Linked DNA regions of Coturnix japonica. Each later gene encodes a partner of the first gene's protein in a complex. Links are inferred from orthologs where the notes say so. Each region holds a gene or a part of one and is shown on either strand. Other genes may lie near its edges.

The links. The genes of interacting proteins can lie anywhere in the genome.
Region 2: SF3B3 (region 1) and IK share a complex: the UniProt entries of both Homo sapiens proteins name them as parts of the spliceosome B complex. The link is inferred for Coturnix japonica from reciprocal best matches to the Homo sapiens genes SF3B3 and IK.
Region 3: the proteins of SF3B3 (region 1) and PHF5A are in contact, whole or in part, in a crystal structure (PDB 7B91), measured with the Homo sapiens proteins. The link is inferred for Coturnix japonica from reciprocal best matches to the Homo sapiens genes SF3B3 and PHF5A. Residues at the interface, in NP_036558.3 of Homo sapiens: Gly85, Arg86, Gln104, Glu105, Thr106, Phe107, Gly108, Lys109, Ser110, Leu140, Ile154, Ser155, Ser156, Pro157, Glu159, Ser1162; in NP_116147.1 of Homo sapiens: Gln14, Ala15, Gly16, Val17, Arg44, Asp47, Glu79, Asp81, Arg82, Asp83.

The regions. Positions count from the first base shown.
Region 1 is NC_029526.1:908,875-912,961, forward strand, and holds part of SF3B3 (splicing factor 3B subunit 3), read left to right. Parts: intron 1-722; coding exon 723-874; intron 875-1,277; coding exon 1,278-1,433; intron 1,434-1,799; coding exon 1,800-1,955; intron 1,956-2,516; coding exon 2,517-2,660; intron 2,661-3,538; coding exon 3,539-3,661; intron 3,662-4,087. UniProt on the Homo sapiens protein: Component of the 17S U2 SnRNP complex of the spliceosome, a large ribonucleoprotein complex that removes introns from transcribed pre-mRNAs.
Region 2 is NC_029528.1:15,121,959-15,126,521, reverse strand, and holds the start of IK (protein Red), read left to right. Parts: upstream 1-1,380; 5' UTR 1,381-1,487; coding exon 1,488-1,503; intron 1,504-1,621; coding exon 1,622-1,688; intron 1,689-1,845; coding exon 1,846-1,938; intron 1,939-2,358; coding exon 2,359-2,418; intron 2,419-2,646; coding exon 2,647-2,814; intron 2,815-2,898; coding exon 2,899-3,013; intron 3,014-3,262; coding exon 3,263-3,333; intron 3,334-3,436; coding exon 3,437-3,483; intron 3,484-3,714; coding exon 3,715-3,878; intron 3,879-3,983; coding exon 3,984-4,092; intron 4,093-4,516; coding exon 4,517-4,556; intron 4,557-4,563. Other genes in the region: NDUFA2 (NADH dehydrogenase [ubiquinone] 1 alpha subcomplex subunit 2), read right to left, coding at 106-197, 1,033-1,139, 1,219-1,322. UniProt on the Homo sapiens protein: Involved in pre-mRNA splicing as a component of the spliceosome. Auxiliary spliceosomal protein that regulates selection of alternative splice sites in a small set of target pre-mRNA species. Required for normal mitotic cell cycle progression.
Region 3 is NC_029516.1:45,262,969-45,267,713, reverse strand, and holds the start of PHF5A (PHD finger-like domain-containing protein 5A), read right to left. Parts: upstream 3,184-4,745; 5' UTR 3,027-3,183; coding exon 2,975-3,026; intron 2,859-2,974; exon of another isoform or gene 2,764-2,858; coding exon of another isoform or gene 2,712-2,763; intron 2,617-2,711; coding exon 2,593-2,616; intron 1,557-2,592; coding exon 1,390-1,556; intron 1-1,389. Other genes in the region: ACO2 (aconitate hydratase, mitochondrial), read left to right, coding at 3,351-3,386.

The DNA of each region.
Region 1 (4,087 bases):
TTGAGAGAAGCCATCACTGGAGATAGTAGCTACAACGCTGTCGTTTATTCCAGTGAGAAGTAAAGGTCATCACTTCCTTTATCTTAAATATAATTGCTTCTCATCCTGGGAATCCATATGGATACTGTGTGAATGAAAGCTAGTTGAACTTCTGGGTGAGGGTAGAGCAGGCTAGCCCTGAGCTGCTCTGCTCCAGCTGCTTTCGGCCTTTTCTTATGTGGATACAAACAAGAGATGTGGTCTTGCAAAGTCCTGTTCATAGAATCCGTGGTGCAGTTTCTGCAAATAGATCCCATCTGTTTTGGTTTACTGGAGTCGAGTGTTTCATTCGACTTCGCTGGCTGTTAAATCTGGATTCATTTCCTCGTGTGAGATGGGGCAAGTGTCTTAAAGGCTTTTAGACCCCGTGCTATCATTGCGAGAAAGGGAGAGTAGGCAGGAGGTAGCTTGCCAGATTCCAGATCATGAATTGACTGTATCATCATTCGATTCCCCCAGCTCAGTCTTGCGTTGTTTGGAGTCGAGCACTGGATGACTTTTGCACAGGGTGTCCTAGGACGAACTTGCACAATATTACCAGCAGATGTAATTATCACAGGAATTCTGCTGAAGAGCAGCTGCTAGACATTCATCAGGCTGTTAATTTCAGCGGGAGGACTTGCATTTCTTTAATCAGCAGCCTTTTTTATTATTTATTTTTTCCCTTTGTCTCCCTTGACCAGATGAGTTTGACGCCTATATCATTGTGTCCTTCGTAAACGCCACACTGGTGCTGTCTATCGGAGAGACTGTAGAAGAAGTGACTGACTCTGGATTCCTGGGTACTACACCCACCTTGTCCTGCTCTCTTCTGGGGGATGATGCCTTGGTACAGGTAATGGAAAGCTGCTTCCGGCATGTCCACATACATTTGCCGGTGGCTGCTTGCTGCACAGCTGTGGTTTTTACAGTAGTACATCATATGTCGTGTCAAAAGGTGTGGATTGGAAGAGAATGATACTTGGTCTCACCCTTTTCTATCCTGGTAGTTAAACTGGACCAGCTGAAAATGCTCTGAGCTCCCTCAGAATGCGCTCAGTAGTTCTTCACTGTAGTTCAAAGACAAAATGCTTCCAGCTGGCAAGTGGCTTTGTCCTAGTTCATTCTATTGCATTGCTAATAAGTCAGTGCTGCCAGAAGTGATGCTCTCTTTTGGCTTTTGTGTCAGAATCAGAATTGAAGTGGAAGTTGGGAAGGGATGGTAAATACAGGAATGAATGTGACCTTTTTTCTTTCAGGTATACCCTGATGGCATCCGGCACATCCGAGCAGATAAGAGAGTAAACGAATGGAAGACACCAGGGAAGAAAACCATTGTGAAATGTGCTGTGAACCAGAGACAAGTAGTGATAGCACTGACTGGAGGAGAGCTGGTTTATTTTGAGATGGACCCGGTACGTGCATTAGTGTTGTGAAAGAGTTTAGAAGAACAGTGCAGATTATGGGGCCTGGCAGATACTGATCCTCCATCAAACCTGCAGGAAAGGATTTTGTAGTGAAGAGTCCTTCTGGAATGAGTCAATCAAGTCTGGACTGTGTCTGCGTTAGATGACTTAATGGCTAATTACAGCCTCTGAAGTTCATAAGTGAAGCTGGAAGTCATAAACTTCCCTGCTACTATTGTTATTTGAACTGTAGCTAGAAATAAAATCCAAAATGCTATCTTAAAAATTAATATACCAAAGATGTTCGGAGAGACATTTTGGTGCTGGTCTGCTCTGTTACCTAATTAATGAGTCTCTTGTGTTTTTCTGTCTCAGTCAGGACAGCTGAATGAGTACACTGAAAGAAAGGAGATGTCAGCCGATGTAGTTTGCATGAGTTTGGCCAATGTTCCACCTGGGGAGCAGCGCTCCAGGTTCCTTGCTGTCGGGCTGGTGGACAACACTGTCAGGATTATTTCCCTTGACCCTTCAGTGAGTAGCCATTCTGGTTTTGCCTCTTCCCCTGGCTTCGAATGTTCAGAAGAGTGCTCCAGAGCTGGGCTTTGCGTGCTGTCTTTCTGTGTTCAAGCAGGTGACTGGGAAGGAATAGCTTGTATGACTTTTCTCCTCTGCAGAGCTGGGAGGAACTGTGGCCCTTGATCCTATCCAGAAACAGATTCTCTAGTTTTATCTAGTCTTACTCATGTCTGGGAGTTTAGATGATAAGATATAAAAGCATTTTCTGCTTTTTGGTTTTTTCCCCTTATCTCACTGTTTCTACCTTTAGTAAAAGTGAACCCAAGCAAGTTAGCAGCAAAACAGCCTTATCATTTCTCTGCCTGCATCATATCAGCGTTCAGTGGATGACTGAAGTAATGCAGACTTTGCAGTTATTTAGCATGGAGAAACCTGAACAAACGATTCCAGGACAGTTTGAAAGGATCCAACTTGTCTTCCACAGATTACAGGGTTGTTACCATCCCTTCCTTGCCAAAATCCATGCAGCCAGCATCTATTGTGACTCCTTTTTACCCTTCTTTCTGTCTCTCACAGGACTGCTTGCAGCCACTGAGTATGCAGGCCCTTCCTGCACAGCCTGAGTCACTGTGTATCGTGGAGATGGGTGGCACTGAGAAACAGGACGAGCTGGGGGAGAGAGGCTCCATTGGCTTTCTCTACCTGAACATTGGACTGCAGGTGAGAGGTGTCTGCTTACCTCTGGCAGGTGTGCATTGGTGAGCTTTTGTTGGAAAGGCAGATTGCTCGGGTAGCCATGTCATCATACAGTGCAGCACAAAGCCTGAGTGTTCCCTCCTTGTTACAACATGCTTAACGACTGTAAGTGGGGAATTCACCTTATGACTTAGCAGAACTGCAAGTTTCCCCTTATGTTCCTGGGCTGAACACTGGTCAAAAGGCAGCATATTCTCTCAGACGTCATGTAGGACAAGGTAGTTTTTTCCTCTTCCAAAAGGAAGACAAATTCTAAACATTTTTGGGTGAAATGAACTGCCTGTAGGGCAGAGAATCAAAGGAGTGATTGCCCTCAACCGCAGGCTCTGCTCTAATAAATCTGTTGCTGCATGGTTTCTATTGCGTACAGTGCAGACTCTGTGATCCTTAACCAAAAATGTTGTTTTGACAATTCAACATGTGGTAAAAATAATGGGAGCAGTCTCAAGTTTCATGTCAGAATGCACACTCAAGCAGCATGGTTGGGTTGTTTTTTTTCTTTGGATAGATGGTTTGTAATGAGAGGGATTAGGAAATGGAGTCAGTCCTGGAGTTATTTCTGTGGCTTTTGTGATGTGCCCAACTTACCGGTCTCCCTTTATTTTATCTTATATTTTTAAAACTAATTCCTCGCTACCCCTTGGGGAGTGCACAGGAGCTATGGTTTGTAATATTAAGAGCCTAGTTAGATAGAGAATAATTGTAGGAGGGAATTGTATCAGAAGCCAGGCAAACAAAAGCCTCATTCTTCAGAAATTTTTTGTTTTGAGTAGCATGAAAGCTGTATTTAGTTATTCCTTATCCGTAATTGTGATCCAACTTTCTGATTTATTGATGTCAAGAATGGTGTGCTGCTGCGAACTGTCCTGGATCCAGTTACGGGTGATCTTTCCGACACCAGGACCAGGTACCTGGGCTCACGGCCTGTGAAGCTCTTCCGAGTCCGAATGCAAGGCCAAGAAGCGGTGAGTGAGTCGAGCTGTTGGAGGGGTATCGATCCAGCCCCCAGGTGCAGCATCCTGCTTTTCTCTATTGGCAGGCAGGGTGGGGAAGTGTCCTCACAGTGCAGCTCTGGGTAAGGGTGGGAAAGAGAATGACTTAATTATGGAGCCGCCTGCCTCGCAGCCTGCTCTTTCATAAACAGCCCCGCTCTTGTTGGTAGTCCCATACTTCTGAGGAAGTAATGTGCAGTGCTGCCCTGCCTCCTGACCTGGAGTCATCTGACCTGGTGACTGTATGTTCAGTTTATCTGGGAAAGCTCTGCACAGATTCTTTTGCACAGAGACGGTGAAGAAACTCACCTTGGCTGCTGCAGTTAGCAGACTGAAGGAGCCCCGTGCTTCTTGACCATTTGATGCAGTTCATGGCCATCTCCTTTCTAGCCAGGGTCA
Region 2 (4,563 bases), on another chromosome or scaffold:
AAGCGATGCTCAGGAGAAGCATGTACATTTATGTGATTAAGTTAAGGACACACATCTTACATTAAACATTGCAAGTAAAGCATTCCGTGTGTTTGCTGGCTGTCTTCACACCTTGCCTTTCACAATGTTCTCCAAGGCCTTCGCCACTTCGTCCACACTGAGGTTATGCAGCGACACACTTTTCTCCTTGCCAAACTCTGCAGAAAAGAGGGAGGGTTGGGCTTCATTCTATTGTTCTGCTGAAGGGTGAACCAAGGCCTCGCTTTGGGTTTCCCAGGGCCAGTGTCACCACCCCTCAGCTCCCTGCTGTCCCCAGGTCCTTCCCGTGCCCTAGTTACTCTTTCCACCTTTCTTGACCCCGCTGCTCAGTGATATCCCTTGGAGAAACCAACGTACCCTACCACATTTGCTCACCTCTTAAAATCAGGGCACTGCAGCTGAGCAGAGGCCACTGTGATGTCCCAAAGTGATCAACCCGGTTTGGCTTTTGGCTCATGTAAAGACTATCACAACCCCCTCAGAAAAACTGTGCTGAAAAACTCACTGCTCCTATAGTAGCCCTTACTGGGGGCTCTATCTTCCTGCAAATCACAAAGAGACACAGATACCTGCAGGTTGGTGCTGGCACTAGGGTTCTCCTATTTGAAAGGTGAGTACATCTGGGGGGACCTCAGTGCAGCCTTCCAGTGCTTAAAGGGAACTTACAAGCAAGATGGAGAGCCACTTCTTACACTTTATGAGAACAGGACAAGGAAGGAAGGCTTTAAAACAGGGAGACTTGGGCCAGATGTGTGGAGGAAACCCCTCACCCGGAGGGCACTGAGGGGGCAGTGCTGCTCATAGCTGGGGGGGGGCCATTCTACGATGGGCCCTGAGCAGCCTGAGCTGGGGGGGAAGGTTGGGGAAGGCACTGAGCTGCTGCTGGCGGCTTTGGGACAAAAGCAAAGCACTCACAGCACACAGAGCACACACTCACAGCACACACACACCATACACAGCACACAGCACACTCACTCTCACTCACTCACTCACCGTATCTCGCCCACAGCCGGGGCTGCACCCCGGAGCACTCTCGGATGAGGATGGGGAAGTCGGGGTTCGCCTGCTTCAGCGTCACGTAGTGCTGCTCGATGAACTCCCTGCCAAGGGCAGCAGCCGTCACAGCCCGGTACAGCCCTATACGACCCTGTACAGCCCCCGTCCCGGTCCCGGTCTCACCTGACTCCCCGGCTGCCATCAGATCGCTGACACAGATGTACTCGCAGCTCCCTCAGCCCGCGGCCCAACCCGCCCCCGATGCCCCTCACCGCCGCCGCCGCCATCTTGAGCTCTTCCGCCGGAAGCACAAGGAGCGTGACCCCGGCACTCAGCCAATCGGAGCGTGACCCCGGCTCTCAGCCAATCGGAGCGTTTTTCCGGCCAAGTGGCCACTTCCGGCACTTCCAGCACTTCCGGCTTGACAGCTGAGGGGAGAGGAGTAGGCCGCGATGCCGGAACGGGACGGTGAGAGGAGCGGGGGGAGGGGAACGGGGGGTGTTGGTGTTGGTGTTGGTGTTGGTGTTGGTGTTGGTGTTGGTGTTGGTGCTGAGCCCGTTGCTGAGCGCTGTTCCGTCCCGTCCAGGTGAGCCGTTCTCCAACCCTTTGGCCCCCGATGGGCACGATGTGGACGACGCCCATTCCTTCCACCAGTGAGTACCGGGCGGAACAGCCCCGAGTGCTGCACACCAGGCACTGCCCTGCAGCACACAGACACTGCACACAGACATTGCACACAGTTACAGCCCCCGACCCGCCGGTCCATTGCACGTACTGGGAGCTGATGGCGGCTCTTGTCGTTTCCCCCAGGTCCAAACTGACCAATGAAGACTTTCGGAAGCTGCTCATGACCCCGCGGGCGACGCCAACATCGGCCCCGCCATCCAAATCCCGGCACCATGAGTGAGTTGGGGTCGTTCACTGCGCTGTGGGCACAGCATTCAGCCCTAAGGGTGATGGAGCTGCCTGGCTCCATAACCCCGTGCTCCACAGTGGGGTATTTAAAGTATTTTACTATGCTAGTAAGTGTGGATGTAGGGATGGGGGAGCAGAGCTTGACCCAGCTTTGTGCTGGGTGTGCAAGTTGCACGTGTGTGTTGTTGGACTTAATGTGAGAAACTGGTGGCTCAGAGCTGTTAGAATGTTTTACATGGATTTTAAGAAGCAGATCAGATTCTGCCAAGTGCAGATATGAGCTTTGGCCTCCTCTCCTCGTTGACACACTGGACTGTGCTGTTCCTGCCTTTGGGCTCTGTGATGTCCAGCTGGGACTCTCCCATCATGCTGTGCAGGTTGTAGCTGTTGTTTCTTACCCTTTTCCAGGATGCCCCGGGAGTACAATGAAGATGAAGATCCAGCTGCTCGTAGAAGGAAGAAGAAAAGGTAAGCATTGAAAGGACGTTCATCTTTTCCTTTTGGAAGGGAAGACTGAGCTCCTCATTACAACAGCTCCATCTTATCTGAGATGTTGTATCCCACAGTGCTTTATTTTGTGTGTGGGGAGGAGATGGAGAGTGGAACAGGCGTGTGCTGGGCATTAGAGGGTGCTGCACGAGCAGTGCATCAAGCACTGAATGTGTCACTAATGTTGGGCTGTTTCTCCAACCTCAGCTATTATGCGAAGCTGCGCCAGCAGGAGATAGAGCGTGAAAGAGAACTGGCTGAGAAGTACAGGGATCGAGCCAAGGAGAGGAGAGATGGTGTGAACAAGGACTACGAGGAAACAGAGCTGATCAGTACAACTGCAAACTATAGGGCTGTGGGGCCCACTGCAGAGGCGTACGTGAGCTTGTGACATGGCCTTCTTTTAACACTTTGCTCCACAGCAGCTGCCCCGTAACAGCCTCCGCTTTTGTTGCACAGGGATAAATCTGCTGCAGAGAAGAGGAGACAGTTGATCCAGGAGTCCAAGTTCTTGGGTGGTGACATGGAGCACACTCACTTGGTGAAGGGTCTGGACTTTGCCCTGCTGCAGAAGGTGAGTACAGGTATCACCACGCTGCTCTTCTGTTATCGTGGCCTGTCCAGCTGGCAGAGGTGGTGAGGAGGGGGTGGTGGTTCCTGCTGTCACATACTGTGGTGTTGCCAGCGCATTCCTGGAATGCATTGTCCTTGCATGGAAGGATTTATGAACGGCTGGGGACCTTGTGGCAGTGGCCTTTGTTGTTGCAATGAATGGCAGCAGTGTGACGTGGTCTGTAATGCACGGATCTACTCTGTGTGGTAGGTGCGGGCTGAGATTGCCAGCAAAGAGAAGGAAGAAGAGGAGATGATGGAGAAGCCTCAGAAAGAAACCAAGTGAGTGGTGGAGGGTTTTGCGTTGCTGAGTGCAGCTGCCTCTCAGAGGGGATGATGCAGAGGGGGTGAGTGCTTAGCATGCTTCGTTTCTGTGTCTTTCCAGGAAAGATGAAGATCCTGAGAACAAAATTGAATTTAAGACTCGGTTGGGTAAGGCTGTGTGCACGTGGCTGTGCCCTTATTTGTGTTGTGTTTTGGATGTGAGAGAAATGCTGAAGCGGATGGAAGGAGGCATATAGGGTTCAGGAATAATGAACTTGAGAGCACAACCGTGGCTCTTAGGAACTGATTCTGATGTTTCTGATCAAATAAACACAGTTCTTTATGGGCTTGTCCATTGCTCTCCTAGGAGCACCTTAAGAGCATTCCTTTTCCCTCCAGGTCGAAATATCTACCGCATTCTGTTCAAGAGCAAAGCCTACGAGCGGAATGAGCTGTTCCTGCCGGGGAGGATGGCCTATGTGGTAGATCTGGATGATGAGTACGCTGACACTGATATCCCCACCACGCTGATCCGGAGCAAGGCCGACTGCCCCACCATGGAGGTATCCAGCTGGTGTCCAGCTCCCCTGACTGTGCTGGTTTGAATTGCCTGGAGCAGGGCTTGCCCTCTGCAGAGTCAGCCACTGCCATGGGCATTTCTCTTTCAGGCACAGACTACATTGACCACAAATGACATCGTCATCAGCAAGCTGACACAGATCCTCTCTTATCTCAGGCAAGGAACTCGCAACAAGAAGCTCAAGAAGAAAGACAAAGGTAGGTGCTGAAGGGAGCCAAGTGGAAGGACTCATGCTTGAAGCATATCCCGAGAGAATGAGATACGTTTTGATTTCCCGCATTCCCTGCACTGTGGGGCAGTGAACTTGGAGGACAGTGACTTCCTGTTGCTCTCCAAACACTGCATCCTGAAGGCAGGGTGTTCACAGCTGAATAAGCGCTGAGAAAGTACAGCTGCAGGAGTGGCTTGTGCTGCTCTGTTATCCCCATTCTTAACCAGTTTCTTAGGGATCTGCCTTCTGTGGGGGAAGAACTTGATGGCTTGCTGAGGTGCTGAGCTGTGATGTGGCAACATAAGAGGAAGCTGGGAGGGTGTCCTCCAGGCCTGCCACTGTTTGGGCTGGGAAGCAGCACAGGTGGGGTGTGGAGCAATGTGCATCTTACTGCTGTTGTGTCCTTGCAGGGAAGCTGGATGAGAAGAAACCCCCTGAAGCTGATATGAAGTAAGTG
Region 3 (4,745 bases), on another chromosome or scaffold:
CTGCTTTTCCTATTCTATTTAGGTCAGCACCAGCTATCATAATTGTGATGTGTACCACCTTTGGCTGTTCTTACTCTGAGCGTTCTTGCTCTTTTAGATCTGCAAATTCACATTTGCAATAGTTCCTAATATGCAAGTTTGCTGGTACACATCAATGGTCTTCTATAGAAGATTTCATCCAGCTATCAAAATACCTCAATTCTGACTTGCTATCTGCTCCTCCAGCTCTATATTCTCTATAACCCTCCCTTCCAGAGCAGCGAGCTGCTCTACATCTGAACCTACAGATGAGACTAGAGCACGAAAAATACCTATTAGGAATCAATATGAATTGGTCTATTTAACTGATAAACTGCCAAACAAGTTCTTTGGTCCCACAGACAAGACAACAAAACTACTGCTTGTCACAGCACTTCTAGATGTAGAAGGCAGTACCACCAACAGCATTTCTATCCACATATAATACTTAGATACTAAGAAAGATGGTGCTCCCGCCAGATCTACTGACTAAATTCAGACACGGGCTTGCCCTGCAAGACCTCTAGAGAAAATATGGGTGCTGCAGAAAATTAAAGCAGCAGCTCAGTCAGCTAAGTACATTCCTCTAAATCAGAGCTGTTTGTCAGCACACTCTGCTGACATCAGGGTGTGCTGGAGATGGTGTTTGCAAAGGATCCAGCCCCAAAACCACACAGCCGATACTCTCCATTGGGTCCATACTCTGACACACTGCAACCGCAAGCATCACGTTCTTGCATTTCCCTACAGTCTTTCTACTACTTCATTGGCAGTTCTTCATGACTTGCCCTCACTATGATGGATATTATTGAATACCTAGAGAGCGAGCATCTGCCTTGTCAAAGGACGAAGGACACTAAGGGCTAATTTTACTGTAACACAAAAGTAAACATGGGTGGTGATTCTGTAGGCCTTATGGTACCATATATGCCAGTGGCATGATCATACCATGTATGGTATGATCACGGACACAGTAAGAAGCTGATCCTGCCACTGCCTTTGCAACGTCTAAAGTGTCTCTGCTGCTGATAAAACTTTGGCTGAGAGATTTAGTAAGATAACAGCTGAAAGTGGTAACAAGCAGAGCGTGGAGGAAGTGAACTGTGAGTATGCATCGTAAAGCACACAAGGATCCTATGGGATACAGAATCGAGGCACTGCTCGCTACCTCAAAGTGCTCCACAAACACTGGGAACCACCGACAGAAAAAGAAACATGCAAGGAAATGAAAACCAGTGCCAGTTCTGGGAGAGGAACCCAAGCATCCAATGTCCTAACATTAATATCACTTGCTCTAAGTCCCTTTAAAGATAAGCATAGCTATTAAACAAAGACATAAGCAATTCTACAGGAGACTGGATGACAACGTACATCTTTTTCCTGGATGGTGCACTCCTTGCAGTAGTAGGCATCAGACACCCCTGGGCCCCCGCAGATGACGCAGCGCCCTTGGTACGAGCCGTAGTTACACTCATCACATATGCGCACCAGGGTGCAGGGCCGCACGTACGAGTCACAGATCACACATTTGCCATCACCTGCAAGTACAGCAGTCTTTGGTTACAGAACGTCCTTTTCTCCACCCCACATAAAAGAGGAAAAGTCTGCTGGACAAAGAACTTGCCTGTATGCTCAAAGACAACGCAGTTAGACTGCAGAACTTTAGCTTACAGGCACAAGGTGCAACTTTATATTTACACAGACTTCAGAGGAACGAGGGCCAACAGCCAGCCATATCCAAGGCCAAAAAAAGGGCAAACCGGCATAAATTGCCACTTCACAGAGTTGCTCTTGCTTTCTCACAAGGGACTGAGAGAAATACAAGTGCTCTTATCATACAGGCAAACAGCCATCAGATGCCATGGACAGTCTCTGCTCTGCGGGCCCCGATCCAAAACTCTGACCTCCAGATGAAAGGCTTCAGATCTTATTACCAGTTCCCAAGGTATTTAATCCTGACTCTCACAAACAGCTCATTTAACCTGCTCTTCAATCTCAGTCCCAACTGCCCTCAGCTACTACCACTGGGAATCCATTTAACTTCTGTGTACTTCTGAAAACAGTTCAGTTGCTTCAGACTGTGCTTCTCCTCACTTCGCTTGTTTTTAACATTTTTTGGAGCCTAGAAATAGCTGGCTTACTTGTACTGAGCTCCTGCAAGGATCTAATGACCAATTGTGCTTATTCTTTTCTGCTATAGGTGAGCACGAGCACAGAATTATAGGGGTTGGAAGGGATCTCCAGGAATCAAGTCCAACACTTTGGCCAAAGCAGGTTCCTTGCAGTAGGTTGCATAGATATTTGTTTTTGCATATTCATCTGCTGTAGCACTTTTTTCCATCCATTTCCCATTCTAACAGATGCTGAAGGGAAGCTGTGCGGTCTTTTTCTCGCACTTGCTCCATACACTCAGGCCAACACACAGGTCACTCCTCCCAGCCCAAGCTGCAGTTACCTGCTATTTCTATTTGGTTGTGACCCCAAGTCAGCAGCAGAGCAAAAAGAGAAACCGAGCTGCAGGCACTTACCACAGAGTTGGGTTCTCAAACAACTACACGCAGAAGATGTACTTACATTTCTCACAAAGCCTTCCAATTGCTGTAAGGGGAAAAAGAATGCGAAAAAACACATATTACTTGAGGCTACATTTAGAACGCAAATACAAGCGACGCCTGTCCTCAGGGCACACCCACCCGGCCCACAGTCCCTCCGCACGGTGTCCGGCCAACGGCTCCCACCGGCCATAAGGAAACCCGCACTCAGCGCCGCATCGCGATCCCCAACCACATCCCTGCGGCCTCGGGGAGCGCCACGAACCCCGAGCTCAGAGGGCCGAGGGAAGAACGAGGAGCTGCGCGAGGGGCCTGACGGGCACCTAACGGGCACCTAACGGGCTCGAACTGCCGCCCGAGCCCACCGTCAAGGTGCGGAGGGCCACGACCGCGCCGGTACTCACCGACGCCCGCCTGCTTGCGGCAGAAGATGAGATCCGGATGGTGCTTGGCCATGGCGCCGGCGACACTTCTCGGTGCTCTGCCGCCGTGTCCCGGTCCTGTCAGGGGTGTGGAGAGCGTCCGACAAAGCGGCGCTCCGGGAGGGGACACCGACCCGTAACCGAGCTCCGCATGGTGCTTCAAACCCAATCCGCCTCGCTGCTCCCTTCAACGCGGGGAACGCCCGTACCCCCGCCATGGGAACGCCGCTCTCTCCTCCGGTACCTCCCTGCCAGGACCCGCTGGACCCCGCCCCCTTCAGCCTCCTCCCGCGCCAGAGGTATCAAAAGGGCGGACTGACGCCATCGGGGCGCGACTTCATCTTTGTCAGTGCACAAAATGGCGCCGTACTGCGTCCTGGCGGCTCGGCTGCGGGTGAGCGCCGCGGGACGGGCGGGGCCGGGCGAGGCCGGGCTGGGCGGTGGGGTGAGGGCCGCTGCAATCCTGGACGGAGGGCAGAGGGAGCGCGGGGCGGCGGGCGGAGGCGTGGGGCCGGGTCTCCGCTGTCTGCGCGTGTAGGTCAGCGCGTCCCCGGCGCGGCCCGACGCCCGTTTCCATGGCGATGGCGGGGCCGCACCGGCGGAGGCGGCTCGGCCGCCTGATGGGCCTCGGTGTCGGGCGGGTCCCGCCGCCTCCGGGCACCGCTGAGCCTCAAGGTGAGCGCAAGGTGACCGCGCCCGGGTAGGCCGAGATATCGCGCCTGGGGCCGTGCTTCCTCCTTCCGCGGGCTCCTCCTCATCTCGTGCCGTTAGCAGCCTGTGCCCTTGGCTGCCCGGCTCCAGGACTGCGGCCTTTCATGTGGATGGGAGTTCCTAGATCTGTTTGTTAAAGGGGCCGTGCAAGGCCAGGCGGCCACATCAATTATCTTTTTATTATTATTATTTTATTTTCCAAATGGCTTGAATCTACCTTCATAATGACTCTCCCAGTCTTCTCCATTGTGACCTCTAAAACCCACGTCTGCTTGTGCCCATCACGGGCACTACAGTACTAAGGGCATTATCCCGTTTACTATCTACTCACTAATAAACACTTGATTGTTTTTTAAAGCCTAGAAGGCAGTAGAATGCCATTTTCTCATGTAGTGCTGCTTGCTGTGCTGCCCTCAGTACGTGCCACATGGTGAAGCTGAGAGCTCGGACTGCTCCATTTGCCAGCTGTGACCTTGGGGAGGGTGTTCCCTCTACCCAGGGAGCTGCAGCAATAACCTTATCAGAGAGTCACAGAATAGCTCAGCTTGGAAGGGACACGTGAAGGATCGTTGAGTGAGGTGCTTTGAAAGCACTTTGTGAAGAAGGCAGTGGGCGTAATACCAAGCTTGCCAGAGTTCAAGAAGTGTTTGGACAATGCTTTCACACATAGGGCCGGCTTTTTGGGTGGTACCACGTGGAGCCAGGAGTTGGGTTTGATGATCTTTATGGATCTCTTTCTACTCAAGATATTCAGTGATTCTATGGTTCTTACTCACATTTTATGTTATTACTTTGTTGCTCTCGGTGCAGATGTCTTAGAAAAGGACTGTTTTTTAAAGTAAAACTTACAACATGGCATCATTGCAGTTATCTCAGTGTATTCATCGTTGACTGTTAAATAATTGCTACTTTGCACTTTGAAGAGAAACAACTACTGATAAAACATAAGCAAATATTTTATTAGGATAATGGGTTGTTTCTCCTTTTATGGTATGTGCAGTCACGTCAGGTCAAGTGGGTGTGTACTTAAGTGGATATGTGT